Linked DNA regions of Notamacropus eugenii. The protein of the gene in region 1 purifies or fractionates together with the protein of each later gene. This does not show direct contact. Links are inferred from orthologs where the notes say so. Each region holds a gene or a part of one and is shown in the gene's direction. Other genes may lie near its edges. The genes, in order: INTS6, INTS11 and POLR2C.

Region 1 (7,848 bases):
AGTCACAGGACCTGAGTTCAAATATTATCTTTGATTCTTACTACCTGAGTGTGCTTGAGCACTTCATCTCCCTAGGCCTCAGTTTCCATATCTGAAAGACATGATGTCTCTTCCAGCCTCTACATCTGTAGTCCTGGCGTCCTAGAGGTCTTCTACTCCAGTGGTCTCAAGCTCAAATTGCATGTTACTTTTAATATATCTACAATATCTCTACTTATTGCAGGTGGGGTAGCTCCCTGAAGGCAAGCCTGTTGGTGCTATATGCTACACTATACATGTGTAAGAAGATGTGATTTCACATTATTGGAGGACACAAGGCAAAGGGTTTGGGAAAAAAATACTGCAGGCATCCAGAAATAAGCAGTTTAAATACCAAGGAACCATAGTTAGGATTCACACAGAATCAAGAAGCTTCTACTATAAAATGAGAAATCCTGGAATATGATATTCCAAAAAACGAGACAGGCTCATGACAAAGAACTTACTCTGTAACACCAAGTATCCTACGGACCAATAAAAAAACCCCACAAAAAAACCACCCACACTTTTAATGGAAGAGGACTTTACAAGCATTTCTGATGAAAAGATCAGAGCTGAATAGGAACTTCGAAATACAAACTAAGTCCAAAAAAACCTCCAAAGGAAATTTAGTCAAGCAATTGGAAGGATCCATACGACTATGTAGTGTTAACATTTTGATAGGGGCAATGAAAACAAGTGTACCTTCAGAACATCAATGTCTTTAAAACAGATTAAGACAGTTAAATGACAAAAAAGTCATCCTGGGAGTGGATTGATTTTGTTTTGAGTGTTCTAAGAGGAGAAAGGGAAAGGAAGTAAAAGAAGAAAAACATCAGAGGAACAAGGAAGAAGGGGTGTAAATAGAAAAAGTGAGGGCAGTGGTCATCAGATGAACCTCATTTAACTGGAAAAAAAGAGGACTGAATACACACTCACAAGGCTTGGTGTAGAAACCATTAAACTCAACAAACAAGCAGGGATAGAGAAAGGGTGTTTGGGAAAGGTTAATATTGGAGAAGCAATAGTCAAAAGCAGAACAAACTCCTCATTTGTGAAGGAAAGCAAAGAAATAGACTCTAAGAGGTTGCCTCAGATCAGTAGTATAAAACTAAAATAGAAAGGGTTCCCTGCTGGTCATATACTAACTAGCCCTCCCCCATTAACATTAACTCTGTTGTATTACATTTTTATTTTGTTAAACATTTCTCAATTATATTTTAATCTGGTTCAGGCAGCTTGGGAGTTGTGCAGCCACTTGCAGCCCACAGGCCACAAGGTTGATACATTTGTCTTAGATTTCCTTTACATAACTGAGGAATGCCTGAACAAACTGTGGTATATGAATTTAATGGACGATTAGCATTCTATAAGAAAATATACAAGGAATAATAGTCTCAGAGATTCCTGGGTGCACAGTGAAGTGAGAAGAACCAGAACAATCTAAACAAGGCCAGACACTACAAAGGAATACAACTTTGCAAGACTTAAGAACTCCGTTCAATGCAGTGAACAGCCATGTCTCCAGAAGACCTAAAATGGAACATGTTACCTACTTGCCTGCAGGTGATAGACTCAAAGTACAGAAAGACTTTTTTTTTTTTTTAAATAGACAGTGCATAGATTTGTTTTGCTTCACTATGTTTATTGGTTACAATTTCTTTTCTTTCTCCTTTTATTTATCTGACAATGGGGTAATGGCTGCAGGAAACTCGTGGGGATAGAGGTTTAGCAATAGTGATGCCAAAAAAAGGGCCCTTGTAACATTTTTAAATGTAGAGAACAGAAAGGAGTTGAGAAGTAGAGATAAGGGAAGTTTTGAAAATTTAAAATGACAAGTTTTTTTAAAAAAGCAAGCAGAAGAGTCATGGTTTCTTATAAATCCCCCCATTTGTGTACTGTGTATAAAAATTTTTTTTGTGGTCAGATTTTTTTTTTTTAATTAAAAAGGATTAGATTTGTTTTTTGCCTCAGAGGGATGAACTAGGCCCAGTGAGAATTTCATAAGGCAGATCTTGGGTCCCTTTAAAAAAAACTTCCTAGCCTTAAGAGCTACCTCAAAGTAGAACAGATTACCTCATGAGGTAGTGAATTTTCTCTCAAGCAAAAGCTAGAAGACTACTGGTTGAGAATTTTGTAGACAGGGTTTCTCAATCAGGTGTGGGTTGAATTAACTGGCCTTGGGGTCCCTTTCATCTTTGAGGTTCTATGATTCTGATGTCATATTCAAATGCCACAAACTCAGATCTTAGCACCTATGTATATTCCAGTTCATTACTTGATTGACTTATGGTAATTTATAATGGCTCTTGTGGGCCATTGCAGGTAAGTCTAATTCATTAGATCCTAACTCTAGCTAATTTTATTTCCATAATTGGGAACATTATTTAAACCAAGGATCAGCAAGTTTTTAAAGAAGTACTAGGCCAAGTTGCTATTTACTCCTAGTAATAACTAGGCTACTTTTAACTAGCCCTTATCAGTTTTAGGGGGTAGGCTCTTACATCAGATACTACTTGGCTTTTCTCTAAAACCTTAGTCATTGTGACCAGGAAAGGGGATATATCTCAAAACCTCACTACTTGTCATTCCACTATTATAGTCTCATTCCACTGGTTCTAAAACTTCTCCAAATCTGAACCTTTTAAGAAGCACATGTCAAAAAAAAGATGTACATGTCACCTTGTCATAAGCTTCTCTTCTGCATTCCCTCAAATCCCCCACCCCTCCTTAAGGTATTATCAGCAAGAGTTCATTGACACAAGGCTGAGATTAAGAATGGGATAAAGGCTAGATGAGAATGGGCCTGGAACACTGAAGGAGGAAGAGGAGGGAAAGTGATTCTGAAACGGAGAGAGTACCGAAACCCATCTTTGCCTGGGCTGCCCATTATGCTGATGCCTTGTTCACTCCGACTTTCTTTACCAATGCCCTGACTTTTTTTGCCTGTTTTGAGTATTTCCAGTTCTTAGCTCTTAACACTGTAGGTTTTAAGACAGGAGGGGCAAGGAAGCAATAAGACATGTGGCTTCTATGAATCCCAACTCTAGAATCTGGATTCTGGATTCTATGCTCACAGGATGAAGAGGCCCTTATCCCCTACATTTAATTTTGAGTCATTTCTCAGAATGCTCTCCACACTGCCCACATTCTGCACCGGGTCGAGAAGAAAGCGACTTGGAACTCTCGAACTATATAAGTGAGCCATTACCATTCCAACAAAAGTTGAATTTCTTGCCATTCCCTAACCTCATTCAATACTTTCCTAACTAGGAATGCTTTTGCTCACGTCTGAGACTAATTCTATCTCAGGCCCATCCATGACACCCTTCAAGACCCGGGTCAGAACCATCTCTGCCAGCAAGCTTTCCCAGATGTAACCCTGGAGAAACGGTCTCCCGGACCGAACCCCTCCTTTGTATTGACGACCCCACTCATTTCTACAATAGGTCTCATCTTCTCCACTACACCACCAGGTCCTGGAGGGAAAGGCTACTTTTGCCTTCAGCTTGGTGTAGTTCACAGGCACAATGGCGCAGTGCCTAGGCTTAGGAGCGCCACTGTAAACTGACAAAATGGTTGAGGTCCAAATCTTACAACAGGAAGAAAGTTTACGTCCTAAAGCTTCTACTTAACAAAAACAGGAGGTGCCACAAACATGAGGCTGAAATCTTAACCGAACCCGTGTGATACTGCGGGGAAAAAGGTCTTTGCTGTTTGTCGACAGCCAGCGTTCAGGTTCCATTTCGGTACGAGGGGCTGGGGCCAGGCCGGTCAGGGCCCGGCCGTGCCCGGGGGGCCCCGAGGCAGGCCCGCGCAGGTAAACAAGGCCCCGCCGCGCCAAGGGCGGGCGTGCAGGGGAGCTCGTTCGGCCATGAGGAGCGCGCCTCCCCCACCCTGCTGCTCTCGGGCTCCGCACCACTCCCCGCAGCGGGGTTTGCCACACACAATAGGGGGAGGCCCCGGGGGTCAGCCCCCGAAAACCTTCCCGAGGAGGCCCGGCCCCGCCTCGCCCGGGCCGGCTCCCCGACGCCGGGCCAAGTGCCGGCTCCATCCGGGTGTCGGGCCCCCTCGACGGGCACGGGGCGCCTGAAGAGAAAGAGCAGGGCTCGGGGCGGAGACTGATGGCTGATCACAAACAAGCCCCGCGATCCCCTCCCCCAGGCCCGGGATCCGCCTGCCGCTGGGGCCCTAGGGAGCTGACTCCTCCCGCGACAGCGGCGGCGGCAGCGGCCCTGCCTCCCTTCCCTGAGTGCCTGCCCCGCTCCACTCCCCGCCCTCATCACCCGCCTCCCAGGCCGCGGGCTGCTCTCAGTCACCTCGGAGAAGGGGGAGGGGGCGAGGGAGGCTCGGCCCAACCTCCATCTTCCCCCCGACCCCCATCACCTCCAACAGCCAAGGAGAGAGGCCGCCTGGCCCCGCCGCGCAGGCTCACAGCCCCGGCCAGCCCCGGCGTGCCTCCCCTCCCCCACCCGGCCGCCCCTCTCCGCCCCTTCCCGGAGCCTGCCCGGGGCCCGCCTCCGCGCCTGCCCACCAGCCCGCTTGCTCTCTCGCTAGCTCTCGCGCGCTCCCGGGCGCCTCGCCTCCGCGCGTGCTCCATAACTGTCCCCCGAGCCGACCGTCCCACTTCCCCCGCCCCTCTGCTGTTTGAATATTCTAATGAGGGAACAGTGTTCAGCCTATGGAAGAGCGGGGCGGCGTGTCACATGGCACGGGGACGTGTCAGGGGGGCGGAGCCCGAGGAGCCCCTGCCCGAGTTAAAACCGGAGTGTGAGAGAGAAAAGCGCTTCAGTAGCGAGAGGGGCCGAGAAAGTGGTGACACCGCCGGGGAGCGGGGGGAGTCCCTGAAACTTCTCCCAACAGCCCCAGGGCCAATTCCCCCCCTCAGCCCAACCCCCTCTTCGCCAGCTCCCGAGTCCCCACTCCCTGCGCCGGGGGTGGGGTGGGGAGCCAGGCCCGTCTCCCGCTGGGACACACATAGGGGCCGGGAGCGGGGACGGGACCCCCGAGGCGGGTGGACGGACGGACGGACAGTCAGGCAGGCGGACAGACAGACGGCCGGGCGTCCGGCCCAGCCGGCAGGCAGAAGGAGGAGGTGGGGGTCTGCTGGGGTGGCCAGGGGCGAGGGGAGTTTCCTCTCAACTATCCGGGGAGAAACTCCCCTCAGCCGGAGGAGAGCCCCCGACCGTGTTTTCCTCCCGGGGGCCGCGCTCCCCCGCCCCACGTAGCGGCGGCCGCCGCCTCCACCTCCTCCACCAGCTCCACCACCACCACCACCATCTCCTCTTCCTCCACCACCTCGGGCCCCGGTGTCCCCGGCCAGCACTATGCCCATCTTACTGTTCCTGATAGACACGTCCGCCTCTATGAACCAGCGCAGCCATCTGGGCACCACCTACCTGGACACGGCCAAAGGCGCGGTAGAGACCTTCATGAAGGTACCGACTGACCGAGCCAGCTGGCGAACACGGCCGGGGTGGACCCGGGGAGCGGACGATCAGGGGTGGGGGGGTGGCCAGGGGGTGGGGGAGACCCGGCTGCGGGAACAGCCCGGCGTGGGGACCCCCCCTCCCGCCACCCCCGCGGGCGGGCGGGCGCTGGGGTCGGGCGGGGGGCTCCGGAGGGTGGGGGGGGGCCCTGCGTGTGTGCTGCACGGTGGGGAGCGGGGGGGCTCGGTCCGCCCGCGGGGATGCCTCGTAACCCGGGCTGTGTGCTCCCCCGCCCGCCCTGTTCTCTCTCCCCCCTCTCCCGCTCCCTCGCAGCTCCGTGCCCGGGACCCGGCCAGCCGAGGAGACAGGTATATGCTGGTCACCTTCGAAGAGCCTCCCTACGCTATCAAGGTAAGGGCCCCCGCCCGGCCCCGCTTCGCCCTCGCCTTCCCCCGCTCGCCTAGCCCAGCCTTGCCTTCCTTATTCCTTCCTCTCTCGCCCTGCTCCCCTCCCCCCGCCCCATTCACCCTTCATTATGCTCCCCTCCCCCCCGCCGCGGCCTCGGGCCCGCTCCCCGGCGTCTTTTCTCCCCGTCTCTCGGCCCCCCGCCCCCGCCCGCGATGCTCGTGGGGCCGGGAGAAGAGGAGCGGCCGCGCCGCGACCTCCTGCCCGCCGCCGGAGCGGCCGCCCGCGGCGGCGGCGCTGCTATCAACATGGCCGACATTTCCCCCCGTGTGCTGCGAGCGGCGGCGGCAGCAAGGCACTGTGGGGGATGTGTGTTCAAGTTAGCGAAGTGACAGCGGCGGCGGCGGCAACTCGGGCTCAAGTTTGGCTTTAAAGGGAGCTCGGGGCTCGCGCGGCTGGCGGGAGCGGAGCCCGTGGGAGCGGAGCCCGCGGGAGCGGAGCCGCGGCCGAGCCGCCCGCCGCCCGCGCCGGACGTGGTGCCGCCGCGCCCCCAGGCGCGCCCCGCGGGGGCCCCGGGCAGCGGCCCCAGGAGCGCCCCGAGGCCCGTCGTGGGGGGGAAATAAACCATTGTGCATTTCTCTTTGCAGGCTGGATGGAAAGAAAACCACGCCACGTTTATGAATGAACTGAAAAACCTTCAGGCTGAAGGACTTACGACTCTTGGCCAATCCCTAAGGACAGCTTTTGATTTGTTAAATTTAAATAGATTAGTAACTGGCATAGACAACTATGGGCAGGTAGGTTGAATATTCAAGTGGGAAACTAGTTCATTTTCCTTTTTTCTGAAGAGACCGTTCCAGTTCACAAACTTTCCATAATATGACATTTTCAAATGTACCTCCTCTCAAAGCAGATTTAACTCGAGAAGACATGCACACATTAGGGACAGTTCTGTCCCCTCATGTTATTCGTGAAAAAGCCTTTGTTTTCTGAACTTCACTTCCTTATTTAAGACGCTGACATTTTATGGCCCTAGTACAGTTGAAGAATACTGACATTAATTTGTGATTAAGAGCAGGGAAATCTGTGTTATGTCCTACTGTCACCTGCTTACTATGGTGCGACTGTGCTCATACGTACGACTGTTGGCTGACTTTGAGGCACAGGCATTAGTAGGGGCTTAGGGGCTTGCTTCATTCTGCTAGTCAATAAAGAAACAGGGAAATCCATCTGCTGCACAAGTGCTTATCCATTCCTTGTATGTTTCTTGTCTGAAGGGTAAGAAAAGTACACTCTCACCTAAGTGCAGACTTCAACCTCTTGAATACACTAGGATTTCTGAACTTCTTTTTGAAGGATCCAGAATTGGCTTCTACTGCTGTTAATGAACTAAAAATGTTAGGTCCAGAGGACAGAAAAAGTTTTTGCTCTTTCCTAAGAGCTTTTTTTTTTTTTATTCAACCCCTTGGGTTTCTCTGGAAGCTATGGAAGAACCCTTTCCCCCTAAGTCCCTGTATTACAGCTGCTGCTCATCAATTTGAGGATCAGACAAGACCTCTTTTGGAGCCTGGCAACATCATTCTCTAATCCGCGTGATGGTTCAATATGGAGTAATCAAGTTGCTCCATTAAAACATTCCGTGAGACTGTTGGCCTGAGAAATAAAAGATCTGCCTGAGACCCAAGAGGTTCAGTTGTTACCTGGAAGTACATTCCACTCCTACCACAGGGATCTGTTATAGTTAAATATCTGCCTTTGCTCCACTCAGCTCCCTTGAACCATGACTACCAGTTAGTAGGACTGTTCTCTCCCACTTTTGCTTCTTACAAACTAAATTTACTCTAGGAGAAGGAGCATACCTGAATTCAGTTGAGATAAGATTTTTTTTGGTATCCCCGTAGGGAAAAGTGATATGCAGTTCTTACAAAGCTGCTGTGCTAATTATTGGAAAGATCAACCTCAAAATGAATTTTGAGAACATAGCCTTCAATGTAAT
Region 2 (7,409 bases), about 70 Mb from region 1:
AAGTCCAAGCTTGGTGGAAGGTAGGGAAAGAGAAACCAAGGGAGTTCTGAGTAGAGCCTGAAGCATCAGTGAGTGCTGGATAACAGGTTTTGGTTGTATCTTCTCTATCTAGTATCCAAGGTAGGAGAGTCACCTTGGGGCCTGGCCTCCCCTCAGCTATGGAAGGTCCAGCAGGGTGTGCTCCTCAAAGAGTTTCTGGGTGATCTGGTAGACCTGACCAATGAAGGGCATGGCTTCATTCAGCATCTCCACAGCCTCCTCGGGGGGACCCACATTCATGGTCTCTAGGAAGGCTTTGCGGCTGGGCAATGTGCAGAATGCCATGGTCACAGCTTTGCGGATGAGCCAGGGGTGGTAGGAGGCCAGGGTGGCATTGTAGGAGTCTGTGCAGAGGACTGAGGTCTTGCAGTCCTCCTGACTTGTCCTGAGTCCCTCCAGGAACATCTGCAGCCAGTGCAGGGCCCGGTGCAGGCGCAGGATGGTGCGACAGCCAGACTCGGGGTGCTCAGAGCGCTTCTGGAGGTCCACCAGTTTGTTGTCGATCTCGTATTGCACCATGGATTGAAGGCTAGAGTAGTTTTCCTTCTGATCACTGCTTCGAAACCTCTCCATGATCTGGATTTTGGTCATCACATCCTTGGAGATGAAGGAGAAGATGGTGCCAAGGTTGTTCAGGAACCTACATTTTCATGACCAAACAAAGTATCATTGATCTGGGGGAGACTGCTGTGGTAACTCTCTGAAAGGGGGCCCCCAAATGGGGAAAGATGCCACATCCCACCGTGGTGGGAGTAATGAGGCCAAAGGTATGATCCAGGGAGATTTCCCTGGGCCAGATTGCTACAGAAACATGAATCAGCTGAAGCAATCAGGGAGGGAATGGGCTGAAGCAAAGCCAGGTATTCTGGTTCTCAGAGGGTGGATCACCAACACCAATGATGGGATCTCTAGGAGGGACACAGGTCATTTAAGTTCTCCAGCAACACGCTATTTCTAAAATCAAAACTTGCAGCTGCTTCCCTTTCCCAGTGACTGCTTGGGGGCCAGAGAGGGTATTGCTGGGACAACAGGGTGACATCTCCTCTTTGCAGATCGTGTATCAATCCTTGTTGCCCCAACCATACCCCTCGGGTGGCTAATGTGCCAGGAGGGCACATCGTGGGGCCTCTGCATGAAGGTCTAAATGTCAGGCCTCTTGGGCCAATGGGAGAATCCAGTCACTGGTGTTTGTAAAATGCTTGTAAGGAATGAGGACTTAAGGAATGTGAAACTGCTGCCTAGCAAGTCCTGTTCCATTCATGTGTGGCCCTGTGCCCACCCCCATCACACGCAGATCCCCCCCTCCATGTGCTCAGGGCCTCCTCACACACAAGTTGTCTGCTGCTCCAGCACAGCCTGCCCTTCCACAATGTCTGGTCCCGCCCTCTCCCACAAGTTGCTGGACATTCATGTGCACTCTCCTCAAATAAAAGGGAGAATAATGGTCATGGTGATGATAACATCGATGAGGATGACGTGAGCTCACATTTCTATAACATTGTGCCTGGCACAGGACTAAGCACTTGACAATGATCATTTCATCTGTTCCACCCAACAACTTTGGGAGGTAGGTGCTATTACTATACCCATTCTGCAGATGAGGAAACAGAGGCACACAGATTAAGTGAGTTGTCCATGATCACACAGCCAGAGTAAGTGCCTGAGGCTGCATTTGAACTCATGTCTTCCTGACTCCAGGCCTGATGTATCATGTAGGAACCCTCCTGGGGATCCACAGAGTGGCCCCTGCACACTCACCTGACAAGCCCTTTCCAACTGGTAATATAAGGGTCCATGAGGACCTCCTCATTCTCATTGAGGCATTGCTTAAAACCAACCAGCACGACCTTCAGGTTAAATTCGGCCTGTTCGTCAGCCATAGTCCACCACAACCTGAAACACACAGAAGGTCCCCAGAGAATCAGGTGGTGCGTGTCTGCTTTGGAGGACCAGCTGGGATGACAGACCTGATGTAATGGGGTGTCTTTCTTAACACTTGCTCCTACTCACCCAAGTTGCTGCAGGATAGAAATGCCCTATTCTAGCAGAGTTGGGCTCCCAAGAAACCTTGGCAAACACAGCCTACTCACTGAGTCTACACATCTGCCAGTAGTCAGTGACTGGACAGGTTTGAGATGGGAGAGGCTAACTTGGAAGGTGGGTTCTACCCTGGAATCTCCCAGGCCCTGGATTCTTTATCTGTCCCATATTTCCATCCTGGACCCCAAGCCGATTTCCCAGGCAAAGCAGGAGACAGAATAGAATTATTCAGATGAGTGAAGGCAGGAAGGAGAGGAGGGAGGCTACCATCCATGCTATGGCTGTAAGCCTTCCACAGATCTAAGATCTGCTTACAACATTCCAGGTTGTTGGCTGTGGGTGGCTCTCATGTCCCCAGACTAGGGGCTCTTTAAAGGAAGATGGCATCTTATATTTTTGTATGCCCCTGTGCACCCAGTGTGGTCCTGAACCCAGAGCTGGCACTTAGTATGACCCTCAATGGCTGCCCGAATGATTAAAATCAACAATGGGATCAGATTTAGGAATGGGGATTGAAGAGTTGAGGACCCCAGGATTTGAAGACGACTGAGGGTGGCCAATGGAAGATCATGATTCTAGGAGTTAGGATACCTCATTTGTTCTTAGTTGTTGATTGCTTCCTCCCTCTGGATCTCAGTTTCCTTATTTGTAAAGTGAAAGAGTGGCATGAGATGTTCCGTTAAGGTAACTTCCAACTCTGACATTCTATTAACTAAAGTCTCTTCCAGCTCAGATGGTCTATCGGTCAACGACATATCAATTTGTTGTTTAAATAGCCCTGTGCTTTCTCATGACACAGAATGAAACCAGCAGCAAGCAGGAAATTGCTGTTAGGACTTTTTAATCATTTTGGGCCCCACAGTCTGCTATATAATACTGAGAAAAGAGGAAACTAAACTGTTTTGAGCAGGCTGAACAGCTGAGGTTACAAACTGAGGATGGATGGGCCTGCTCAACTTCTCAAAGTAAGGCCAGTACTCCCATCAGACATCACTCTGACTCTGCTATGTTTATACTCTGCCATAAACTATTTATCAGAGCTTCAAGGTCAGAGATGAAGATTGGAGCAGGAAGAAGGAAGGGGGCGGGGAGGGATTGAGTAAGAGCAGCCAAAGAAACAAAGAGTCTCAACACTCTCCAAGGAGTTCTACTTTTGGCAGAACCGAAGGCTCTTAGACGGCAGCGGTCCGGGGTTCAGCATGCTGGCCCCGGCTCCCATTCCACTCATCTAGCGTGTCTATTGAACACTTACCACAGGCAAAAATAAATTTCAGAGTCTGACTCAGCACAGAGCAACCTGGAGAAAGTCCCCCTGTCCCCCCCACGGAAGGAATCCAACCCAACCACAGCGATACAGCAGTGCCATACATACCTGGGTCAGATGGGGAAGGTCAAAGGGGAGGGGATCTCAGGGTCTTACTCCTGGTTCTTCTGTCACTGCCTTTGGGTCCTGGACTCACATCCTTGAAAAGAAAACACAAGAATAGCAGAAAATCAGGCCCACGGACCCCTTCCTCCTGTGTATAAAATACCCACATTACAGAAGGAACCATACAGGCATATCAGCATACACAGAATACATCTACACATATATAGTACATACATATATACTGTATATACGGTACATACATAGGTTATATACAATATATATTCAGCATAAGTACAATTTAAATGCAGTTCTCAAGATTAAAGTCTATGCCCTTCGATTTCAAAGTCAGGAAAGGAGGAGTCCCACCCGCTCTATTTGACAGATGGGGAAACTGAGGCCCGGAGGTCCCGCAGAGAGTGAGGCGGGGGGGGGGGGGGCGGTCAGGGCAGGACCCGAGCCCCGGGTGCCCCCGGACCGTGACCCGGACACCGGGGTCCCCTCCCCCGCAGCGCCGGGGGACCCCAGGGCGTACTCATGACCCTTGACCCCACCGCCCCCATCCCACGCCCCAGCACCCCCGACGTCCGTTTACAGCTCCCCGATCCCCGGCCCCCCCGGGCCCACCCCTTCGCCCTCACCTGCACCTTACTCACCGGCGTTACCATTGAATGCAGATTCTTGGGGGCCTGTCTTCAGTCCCCTCCAATCACAGCCAAGACCCGCCCCCCAGTCCTGGCCCCTGCTTGATTGACTGGGACAGAATCCAATGGAAGGCCGGCAGGGAGGGCCGGCCCAGGAGGGCAGGTCCCGGGCGCAGGAAGGCCGCTCATAGGCTGCCGGGGTTGCGCCTGCGGGGTGCCTTCCGGCCCTCGCCGCTGGCCCCGCCCCCCGCGCAGGCGCAGTGCCTCGGGACTGGCTGGGAGTACGGAAGCCTGCGCGGCTTGCCTCGTGGAGGGCTGAGGTGGGGAGAGGGAAGCAGCGGGGGCCCTGCCGACCTTCGAGGGAGTCTGGGAGTCTCCCTCTTCAACCTGCCCGCTTCTCCCAGCGGCCTGCTGCTCAGGACCGGCCCCCCTCGGGTGGGCGGCCGTGAGCGCGTCCGCCGGGATGCGGGCGAGTGACGTCACCGCGGGCGAGCAGCTGCCCCGCAGGGCTGGGTTTGGGGGTGGGGCGCCTCCTGGACGGGGAGCCCGCGCTCGGCCTTGGGGTCTCCCGACAGAGCCGGCCTGGGCTCACGGTGTGGGGATGCAGGGGAGCCCAGGGGGAGGCCCTTCGGGGGCTAGAAGGGACCTTAGACGGGCTCGCCTCTCCTCGTCTTCTTGCCCCACTTTACAAGAGGGGAAACTGAGTCCCCGAGAGATTGTGGAACTTGCTCCAGGTCAGGGGTCAGGGGTCAGGGTCAGCGCAGGGATTAGAGACCCATCTCCTGGCTCAGAGAACGACTTGCCTGGAGTCACACAAGTGCTAAGTAGCAGAGCCAAGATTCACACCTGGGCCCCTTGCCTCCAATCTTGTGCTTTGTATAATACCACCTTACTTTATGTAGGATTGGGAAGTAGCTTTTGCAGCTGATACTCCTAAGCCACAGCCTGGCAGGAGCAACTGGGCTAAGGGATGGCTATTCAATTTTTTTACAAATTGATTTTGGAAGCAGAAAAACACTTGTAGCTCCAACAGTTTACAAAATGCTTCCCTTACAACAGCCATGTAAAGAGGCAGTGTAATGTATAGGTAAGAACACTGGATTTGGAATTAGGTTCTAAGAGTTGGAAGGGTCTCTAGAAGTCATCTGGTCCAGCCTATGCCAGACTCAGAAGGCTTGTGCTCTGTTACTGCTTATCTGTGTGACTGTGGGTGAGTTATTTAACTCCCACGGCCCTTAATTTCCCCTTCTCTAAAATGAAGGGGTGTGGGCTAGATAATTTCTAAGGTTCCTTCCCTCTATAAATTCTCCAAGGTAGCTGTGCAGTACAATTTTGATGATCCCATTTTACAGGTGAAGAAGGGTCATGTGATTTAGAATCTAGAACTCAGGCCTCCTGACCCAAGTCCAGATTAAGACAGTGAGAGTGTCATTATCACCTTAGTTTCCTAGCATGCTCTCCCCCCCCAGAGACCTCTGTCTAGTATACTGTTGTGTCACAGTAGGGTAAGACTTAGACCACCACTGCTTTGGCGTAGAGCCAGTAACCAGAGCTGAGGAAACCTTGCCCAGTTTTAGGGATGGTGGTGTCCCTTTTTCACCACCTATTCATAATCACTGTAAAAAGTTACAGCCTTCTGGGTTGGCCCATTTCCTTTTAGAAATTATGACTTCCAGACCAACGGTACCTGTGTGATCTCAAAAACCCGTGCTTTGTAGGTACTGCTCTATGGTGTCTTGGATCTAGCCTGATGAAGTACTGAGAACTTGGCCACTCAAGATGCCAGAGATTAAAGTCACTCCCTTGGGTAAGTTAAAAGAAGCAAGTTTGATTTAAAAAAAAAAAAGTTTTTCTGGTGAAAATACCATCAGGTCAACAAAATGTTATGGTGATGAACTTAAAAGCTGTAATATTCTCTGTAAGAGAATACATCAATCACAGCTTAGCTCTTTATTTTGTGCTCTGTTCCCATCAGTATGATTCATATCAGTATGAACCGAGCACTTTGCCATGCCCACTGATGGGGGGTGGGATGGAGGAGCCATGTGTGGTACAGTTACACAGAGTCCCATGGATGCTTTTCTTGAGTGGGCAGTGTTATAGGCAGCAGGTTCTCTTTCTGAATATTTTCCTTTGGTTCATGGTAAAAAGGAATTCTCCATCCCTCAGGAGAGACACAGTTGGTATTGTGAGAAATTAGCCTAAACGTATGTAGGAGAGTGAAAGAGAATTTATTTTGGGGGTCAAACATTTTAGGACAGATTATTTGAAAGAGAGAGGGATGGTTGGGAGCCGGAAGAATCAGAGAAGTCTTCCTAGAGGAGGTAGTAAGGTGTGAGTTGGGAATTGAAGGGTGGGCTGGATTTGTTGAGAAGGTGGGGAGGCTATATCAGGTCAGGAGAATGGGGGACTATGTTCTAGAGCAGGGGGATGGGCTGGAGAATAGGGGGAAGGGAGGTAGCAAGTTCTGTTCTGGTTTCTCTGGAGCAGAGGGCTTGTGGGGGGCAATGGATGTGTCACTCATCATGAAGTAGGAGCTCATTCCCTGTTCTTTCAGGAGGAGGCAAGAGCATAGTCCAGATCCTCAGTAACAGCATCACAGTCTGTCTTTGGGAGAGGCGACCCCATGCAGAGTAACAGGAGTTGATATGGTTTGGGTCCCATAGCCTACCACCAGGGGGTGCTCACAACCAAGTTTCCAGAGTGGCCTGGAATGTGCAATTTAAAGGTTCAGGGGTGTTTTTGGTGTAGAGTGGAGACCTACCGTGGGACTTCTCTGAGACACAATCCTGTAAACAGAAACGTTGCTAGGCTGATTCTCTGGGTTGTTGAGCATCTTAAAAGTTGATACTTATAGGTCTTTGGCCTCTTAGGTCCCTCCAGATGTTACTAATATGGAGTCTTCAGCCTTTGAATAGGAAGATGCTGTGCTCTGGACTTTTTCTCAGTTTCCATTCATCAGTAGTCATGCAGTCTTCTTCCTTTCCCGAAGATTTGTGAATCTGAGATCTGGCTTAGGTGCTGGGGGAGATATGGAGTCCAGATGAGACCCTGGTAGAACTCACAGTCTGGCAGGAAAACGTCCAGGAGCCCCTGGCCTTGTGGGGTCCCCTTTGGCATCTGGTGGTGTTAGTGACAGTGGCGGAAAAGGGGGCAGACAAAGTCACAGTGTTAGACTATCTGTAGTCATTCACTTAGCTGGTGGTGGTTTTAAACACCTTGTCCTGTGACCATTGAGGGAGAGGACATTGTTCTGGAAGAAAGGAACCTTGCCAGTCTTCACCTGCTCACTCTCAGTGAGACCAGAAGACAAGTGAGAG
Region 3 (7,630 bases), on another chromosome or scaffold:
TTGTTAACTCCAGATTTGTATTTTTAACTGCCAGCTGGACAACTGTACCTTTGTGCCTTAAGACACTTCAAAATCAAACTGTGACTTTAGACAAGTTACTTCTCTACTCTGGGCCTGTTTTGTCTATAAAATGAGGGGGTTGGAATAGATGATCTCTGAGGTCCCTTTCAACACTAAAAGCTCAATGAATCTGTGTATAAAACCAAATTCTCCCTTTTCTTTCGGCCTCTCAGCGTGGCATGGTGTATTGTGTTGAATTTGGAATCAAAAAGACTTGGGTTCCAGTCCCACGTCTTATGTTACTACCTGTGTATTTATGGGCAAATAACCTCATTTGGCCTCAGTTTTAACATCTGGAAAATGAAGGAGTTCGACTAGATGATGATCCCTAAGGTCCTTTTGAGTGCTAAACTTCGGATGCTCTTCTGGACTCTTTGTTATTGACAGCAGCATCTTCCCCATCCCTAAAGTTTAAAAGCATATTAAGACTTATGTTGTATGTTTCTTTATATATCTCCACAATATGGGCCTAGGCCCACCCCTGAGCCTTACACATACCATAAACAATAAGAAATATTTGTTGGTTAAAAAAAATAAAATTTAGGTTTGTCAAAAAGGAATTTATTATGGGAAAAGAGTTCTGTGTGCCTATGGGACATTTTAGAGCCCCCAATGGCCTTAAGGGACTGGCCAATACTAGAGGATCAAGTAAATGGTTGGTACTGCAGCTTCCAGTGTGGCCCTAGCGTCTTCATAGTTCCTAATTCCAATATTTATTAATCACCTATGTGCAGAGCACTCTGAAAAGGATAACCAGTTTGGTTATAAGGTATGGTCCCTTCCCACATACAGGTCACAGCCCATCAGGACAGTAAGATTCATATACATAATTTTAACACAAAATATTGAAGACTGAGTTCATTAAAAGTGCCAATTAGTGCCCCCAAAAAAGATTGCTAAGACTGGAAGAATCAGGGAAAGCTTCAAAGATGAGGTGGCATTTGAATTGTGCTGTAGCACCAGCTGGTCAAGGATCTCTGCAAGTGAATCCTAGAGAGAACTAGGAGGAAACTGTGAATGAAACTTAAAAGAGACAGATTTTTAGCTGAGTATAAGGACAAATGAGAATGAGAGCTGTTTAGGATTTGAACAGACTGCCATGAAAGATTCTAAGTCCTTCATCACCAATGATTTTACAGAAGAGGCTGGACAACAACTTAAGGGGCATATAGAGGGAATTCTACCAGGTAAGTATTAAATCAAAAAGCATTTATTAAGCACCTATGTCCTCTGCTCCCAGCTACGTATGGAGATGGTCCGTACCTTGGTCTTGCCATCACAAGTGTTCCATATCCATGTTCAAGAACTCCAAATAAAATTCCTTTATCTGATCATAATTTGTTGTCATCCTATCTCTGCCTTGCAACTCCAAACCCAATTTCCTTTGTCTTCACGGTGACCTCCAATTCCTCTATCCTTTAGTTCTTTCCCAACTCATGACCCCCGCACCTGCTATACTCCCTTGCTCTTGACAAACCAGTTCAACCCTATGCTGCCCTCTCAGATCCCTTGCACCTTTATCCTCTCATCCATTTACCCTACCAAGTCTCATCCTTGAATCATTCCCACCATCCACTGCCTGTGCTCCTATTCATAAGCTGCTGAACAAGGCTGGAGAAAATCATGAAAGGATTCTGACTGGGTCCACTACAGGTTAACGTTACATAATTTCAACTGGGCCCTTATAGCAGCAAGGCAATCCTTTAACACCACCCATTCACTATCCCACTCAATACAGTGGCTTTTCCAAACATTTTCACCCTTCCACAAACCTCACCTCCTAGCTTCCTTGGCTTCCTTGAAGCCTCACCAAAATCTCACCTTTTTTTTTTTTTTAAATAAGTCAAAAGTTTAATTCTGTTGCACAAAGTCAGTTGATTCTGGATTTACATATATAATAAGAAAACTTTAGATCACAATGGTTTGGGGCTCAATAAATGACTAGAAATAAAAAGTCATATTTCAGAGTAGTAAAATTTATAATTACTACAAATGTCTTGCAGCGCACTTATAATACAAAAGCAAGATCAAGTCATTTCTGTATTGTTTTGATAAAGAGTATGGGACAGAGGGTGTTTTGTTTCTAATGGGAGGGGAAATCTTTCCTTCTAAAGGATAATATCAACACAAAAGCTGCAAGAAAAAAGAAAAAAACATGGGAAAGAAACAAATGATATAAAAAGGCAAGATTTTAAAATCCTAATGTGGGATTATTAACCATAATAAAATGAAAAGATACATTAAAACCAGCAGTACATAATAGAACCCACAAGGCAGGCAAAAAAAATAAAAGATTCTAAGTTAAAGAGAAAAGGTTTGTTTTTAAAGAATGATGTCCTCCCAAACACCACAACACAGCAGTGCAAATGGTAACTGTGTGGTCCCCTTTCTGTTAATAAATTGAGCATTAAATCTCACCTTTTGCTCTTGCAAACTGAGTCTCAGAGAAGGGAAGTGTCCAAAGTCACACAGCTAGTAAGTAGCAGGCAGAATTTAAACCCCAATGGTCTTGCCATGTATAACTGGTCACCTCATCACTAATCAAAGCTTCTAGTTATCCCTATGACAGATCACTCCCAGTTCTAAATATCCAGCCTTAGTCTCTCTCTTGCCCTTATCAGTCCTTCTTAATGCCTTCTCTCTGAGAACACTCCCAATAAATCCTGCATCATCCCATACAATCCTGGCTTTTCCAAGCATTTTTATCCTTCCCTCGTCCTCTCATTTGAGAATTTTGCTTCACATGTCACTGAAAAAATTGAGACCATTCACAACGAACAATCCTTTCTTGTCTTCCTTATTTCACATCATTCAAATACCTTCTGCCACTATCTTCTCCTTCACCTGTTTCACATAAAGTGGTCCTTCTTGCCAAAGCAAACCCCAATACATATACAAGTGATTGCATTCTATCTTATGCTATCCTTCACACACATACCCCCTCCCCCCAATTACACTGTGAACTCTGAGAGCAGGGATTGTTTTCTGCCCTTCTTTGTTTTACTACATTTAGTATAATGCCTGGCACCTAAAAAGTACTTAAATGCTATTTGACTGATTTGTGCCAGGCTCAGTGCTCAGCAATAGAGATGTAAAGGTGAAATGAAAGGAGCTTATAATCTATTAGGGGAGACATGTATATGAGGGAGCTTCACGATGCCGTGGAAAGTGTTGGATTTGCAGGTTAAAAGATGGGTTCAAATCCTGACTGCCGCTTAGAACCTGTGTGATCTTCAGGGTTAGTACCCTTTGAGGGAAGCAAGAGATCTAAGAGGTAGAGGTGGTGAGTTCCAGGCCTAGAGGACATCTTGTAAAAAGGCAAAAGGAAAGAAGTGGGAATGTTAAATATGAAGTCCAAGGGCAGCCTAACTGGATCATTGAATGCAAGCATGAAGAAGAGTAATATATAATAAGCCTATAAAGGTAGGTTAAAGCCTGGTTGTAAAAGGCTTTAGACAATAACAGCTGGAACCTAAGCAAGTAGGATTCCTGATCCCACCTGCCCCCAAGATCTCAAAGTATAGAAGTGCTCTGAGTTTGTATTTTGATCCTAGATGTAATAGGGGTCACTGAAGTTTATTAAGCAGGAAAGGGATTTTGTCATATTTATGGTTTAGGATTGTTATTGTCGTTCATCATTCTCCAAGAGGATGATGTCTTGACTTGATTCAAGTGAGGCAGAGCTGTGCAAAGTCATCAGCCCCACTCTCTCCTCCAGTCATTGGGAGTGCGGGGACAAGGCATAGGTCAGGACTCCAGGGGATGGCCCCAGAAGCAGTGGGTTTTCCCAGGTTTGTCTGAGGCAACACCCATTCAGCGATCGAAGGTGAGGTAGTAGTAGTGGTGGTGATGGTGGTGGTAGTGGTACTAGGGAAGTTTGGAAGAGAGTGGATTTTGGGAGGGAAAAAGGATTAAAAGTTCTATTTTGGACCTGTTGAGTTTGAGAAGCCTACATTATATATATAAAATACATATTACAGACACATACACACATATACATATGTGTGTATGTATAGACATATACATATAAATGTGCACGTATGTATCTGTGTATGCACATGTGTGTATACGTGTATAATCGATATAGGATATCGATTTTGAAATGTCTGACTTCATGCTGATTAACTGATTGAACTCAGGGACTTCAGCGGTCCCTTCCAGTCTTCCCACGCCACGGGCCAGCTGCTCAGCAGGGGGGCTCCGGCTGGATGTCTGGGCCCGGGAGCGGTAACTGGGATGTGTGAGAAGTGATGAGGTCACCAGCCATCTGAAAGCGAAGCAGCGCGGCGTCAAGGCCATTCGCGTCCCAGTTCTGACTGCTCCTTACCAGCTGTGTGACCTTGCGCACTTCCCCTCTCTGTGACTCAGTTTCCCTGTCTATGAAAGGAGGCAGTCGGACTGCGCGCGTAAAATCCCTTGCTCGATCGAAGACCTCCGTGGCGGGGTTGAGTTCTCCTCCCACTTCCATCCCGTCTGCGCCTTCTGTAGTTCCTCCTCCTAGGCCGAGGGGGCACTGTGGGCTCCAGGGGGAGCGAGGGAAGGGAGGGGCGGCGCCTCTCTCCGGCGTCCGGTGACGTCACGGCGGCGCGCGGGTGGTCGGGTGCACGCAGAGCCGAGGGCCGAGCGTGGAGGCCGCGGGCCGTTCTCGGTCGCGATGCCTTACGCCAACCAGCCCACGGTGCGGATCACCGAGCTCACGGACGAGAACGTCAAGTTCATCATCGAGAACACGGACCTGGCGTAAGGAGCTCGCCGCCCGGGGCGCCCGGAGAGTCCCGGGAGAGCGCTCTGGGGAAGGGGCCGGGGCGGGGACGCCCCGGGGGGGCGGGGACCGGGGAGGAGCGGGCTGGGGCCCCCTCTGATTCGCCTCTGGTCCCTCCTCCCCGCAGGGTGGCCAATTCCATCCGCAGGGTCTTCATCGCCGAGGTGCCCATCATAGGTAAGCCTGGCTGCCGTGCCCCCTGGCAGCCCTGGGTGGGCGCCGCCTTCGCCCTTCTCCCGCTTTGCAGCTGGCTAAACGGAGGCGCAGGGAGGGGACTTGGAGGCGGTGTGGAAGCCGGGGCGCGGGCGGCTCCTCTTATTCACAGACTGACCTGTCCCTGGCCCTCCTCCTCCCAGCTGCCCCCTGCTCCCACCGGGGTCCCGTTTCGATGCTACCTGCGCCGTGATATCGGGTTCTTCTGCCCTCCTCAGAGTCCTTACAGCCTTTTCCTCACACTCTTGAGTAAAACAGCAGCCCCCCCTTGGTTGTCTCCACCCCCTTTTCGGTCTCAGGCTCCTGGAGGGCGGGGTCTGTTGGAGGATTCATCTCACAGCGTGACGCCGGCTGCTTATGGTGGGTGAAGTCAGATAGCGTACGTGCGGTGGGTGCCCGGTAACCCTAAAGTCGCCGTCCAGCTGTCAGTTAACTGTTATTAGGAGCTTTTGAAGTTACCAGGGCAAGCCTTGGAAGAGGGAGATGAGGATACTATACAAATAACCAGTCCAGATTGCAATACAGTTGGGAGCTGTCAAAACAGCAAGGGGGAGAGATTTCGGTGGGAGGCGTTCTGTAGTGACTGGAGGTATCAAAAAAAGCTTTATCAAGCTCAGAGTCTCTCAGACTGTTTTTATTCCTTTGTCTACGCTATGCCTAATCAGACGCATTGAAACAATTCATTGAACGTTGGGCTCTGACTAGGCACTGTGGTATACCTTCTCATCCCCCCGAAAGTGTAAAACACAGCCAGTATCTCAAGTACAAACTAGTTGGAGAAAGACTAGGGGGGGGGTGTGTGTGTGTGTGTGTGTGTGTGTGTGTGTGTGTGTGTGTGTGTGTGTGTGTGTGTGTGTGTGTGTGTGTGTGTGTGTAGCAACCGTATAGAGATGTTTTATTTCACTATTTGTTAAAAGGGTTTATTTGGGGTTTTTTCCACTTTGGAAGAAGAAGGTGAAAGAAGGAGAAAGAGGGATGGCAGTACAGTTACCAAAAAGAAAGAAAAAGGTTGTCTTTGAAACACTGTTTTGAAATACACAGAAAAGAACAAAAGGAAACCCAAGCAAGGAGAATAACCAGGAAAAAAGGAGAAAAGCAGGCTGTACATATTAGAAATTCACATGTCCTCTTTTTCTGTCCTACTTTGAATTAGAAACATTAATTTACATAGTATTAAGTGGAGAATGAAAAAAAATGAAATGGCGTTCAACCAGATGATTTTTCAGGTTCCTTCCCAGCTTTAGTGATCTGTGACTCTGCAATGGGATGATCTACAGTTTTCACCTCTCTTCCGTGCCAACCAAATCTTGTTCTTTCAAGGTCTAAATCAGCCTGAATCTCTCCATTAAGTATTCCCTAGTCACTGTAGTCCACAATGATAGCCTCTTCCTTAAACTTTTAACAGTTAATATACATATTTATTTAACAGTTAAGCTCATAGTGTTTAGCACAATGTCTGGCATATAATAGGCACTTAATACATGTTTCTTGACAGACTGACTTAAAAAGTGCCAAAATGTATAATGCAAGCATTAAATGAAATATGGTTTGGATAAAAGAGGTCATTATAGGTCTTAGTTTTCAGGAGGTCGTAATTGAGCTGGGTCTTATAATATGAACAAAATAAAATGAAGACATATAAGCATGGATTATGAAGGTCATAACGAGGAGACCACTCTAGATAGAGTAAAGGGAGTACATAGGAGAGGTTTCAATAAGGCTGGATGGTGCTCTGTGCATAGTATAGGGACAGTTTCTAGAGAGCTTTGAAACAAAGGCAGCCTCCAGTTCATTTCAGTGCTGCCCGACTTGCAAATGACAATATGGCCCATATTGGGATATAATGAGGAGCCTTTGGTCTTCCTCTCTGAAGGGCCAGCACAAAAGCCTGCTTGATTCCCTGCCTCTTCTATGTGAGCTCTGTGACTCAATGGCATTCCTGCCTCTTTTTTTTTTCTTTTTTGGCCTTTAAGCCATAGACTGGGTCCAAATCGATGCTAACTCTTCGGTGCTACATGATGAGTTCATTGCCCACAGACTAGGTAAGTGTTAAGTTCAGGAGGAATAGGGGAGAAGGGCTGCCATTTTGTGTCTTAGAAAGCTATCAGAAGAAACCACCTGACTTCTGAAAGGTTTTTGACCTACTTGAAACACTGCTTTGTGTTTTCTAGGATTAATCCCTCTTACAAGTGATGACATTGTAGACAAGCTGCAAAACTCCAGGGTAAGATTATATTCAGTTTGATTACTGGAGAGTATTTTCCTTGATAACATCCTTTCAAGCTGTTAGATTGTATTCATTTGTCCAGTTTTATATCATAGTAATTCTCAAATTTTTTCATTCCACTCTCCCCATTTCCCCTCAACCATCTCATGTTCTTTAATTCCAAATTGCTGTGAAAAAGTGAACAGTCATAACATCTTGCTCTGTTTATCCTTTAGGAAGCAATAAGTTTGTCTTTGTGGAGTTGGTTAGATATATGGGAAGACATCTGTATCTAATAATAAAGGAATAGGCAGGGGACTAAGTGAAGGATGAAGATGTAGGGGAAAACATTATTGACAATTTATGCTAATATAAATAAAATACTTTGC

Evidence for each region.
Region 2: the proteins of INTS6 (region 1) and INTS11 purify together in Homo sapiens (affinity purification with mass spectrometry; 3 studies listed by BioGRID, with this or other methods). This does not show direct contact. The link is inferred for Notamacropus eugenii from reciprocal best matches to the Homo sapiens genes INTS6 and INTS11.
Region 3: the proteins of INTS6 (region 1) and POLR2C purify together in Homo sapiens (affinity purification with mass spectrometry; 3 studies listed by BioGRID and IntAct, with this or other methods). This does not show direct contact. The link is inferred for Notamacropus eugenii from reciprocal best matches to the Homo sapiens genes INTS6 and POLR2C.

The regions. Positions count from the first base shown.
Region 1 is NC_092876.1:104,426,952-104,434,799, forward strand, and holds the start of INTS6 (integrator complex subunit 6), read left to right. Parts: upstream 1-4,808; 5' UTR 4,809-5,345; coding exon 5,346-5,456; intron 5,457-5,780; coding exon 5,781-5,858; intron 5,859-6,499; coding exon 6,500-6,649; intron 6,650-7,848. UniProt on the Homo sapiens protein: Component of the integrator complex, a multiprotein complex that terminates RNA polymerase II (Pol II) transcription in the promoter-proximal region of genes.
Region 2 is NC_092876.1:34,734,416-34,741,824, reverse strand, and holds the start of INTS11 (integrator complex subunit 11), read left to right. Parts: upstream 1-4,324; 5' UTR 4,325-4,409; exon of another isoform or gene 4,410-4,558; intron 4,559-5,807; 5' UTR 5,808-5,868; coding exon 5,869-5,896; intron 5,897-7,409. Other genes in the region: CPTP (ceramide-1-phosphate transfer protein), read right to left, coding at 157-679, 1,798-1,919.
Region 3 is NC_092872.1:475,144,301-475,151,930, forward strand, and holds the start of POLR2C (DNA-directed RNA polymerase II subunit RPB3), read left to right. Parts: upstream 1-4,615; 5' UTR 4,616-4,714; coding exon 4,715-4,800; intron 4,801-4,949; coding exon 4,950-4,999; intron 5,000-7,008; coding exon 7,009-7,077; intron 7,078-7,206; coding exon 7,207-7,259; intron 7,260-7,630. UniProt on the Homo sapiens protein: Core component of RNA polymerase II (Pol II), a DNA-dependent RNA polymerase which synthesizes mRNA precursors and many functional non-coding RNAs using the four ribonucleoside triphosphates as substrates.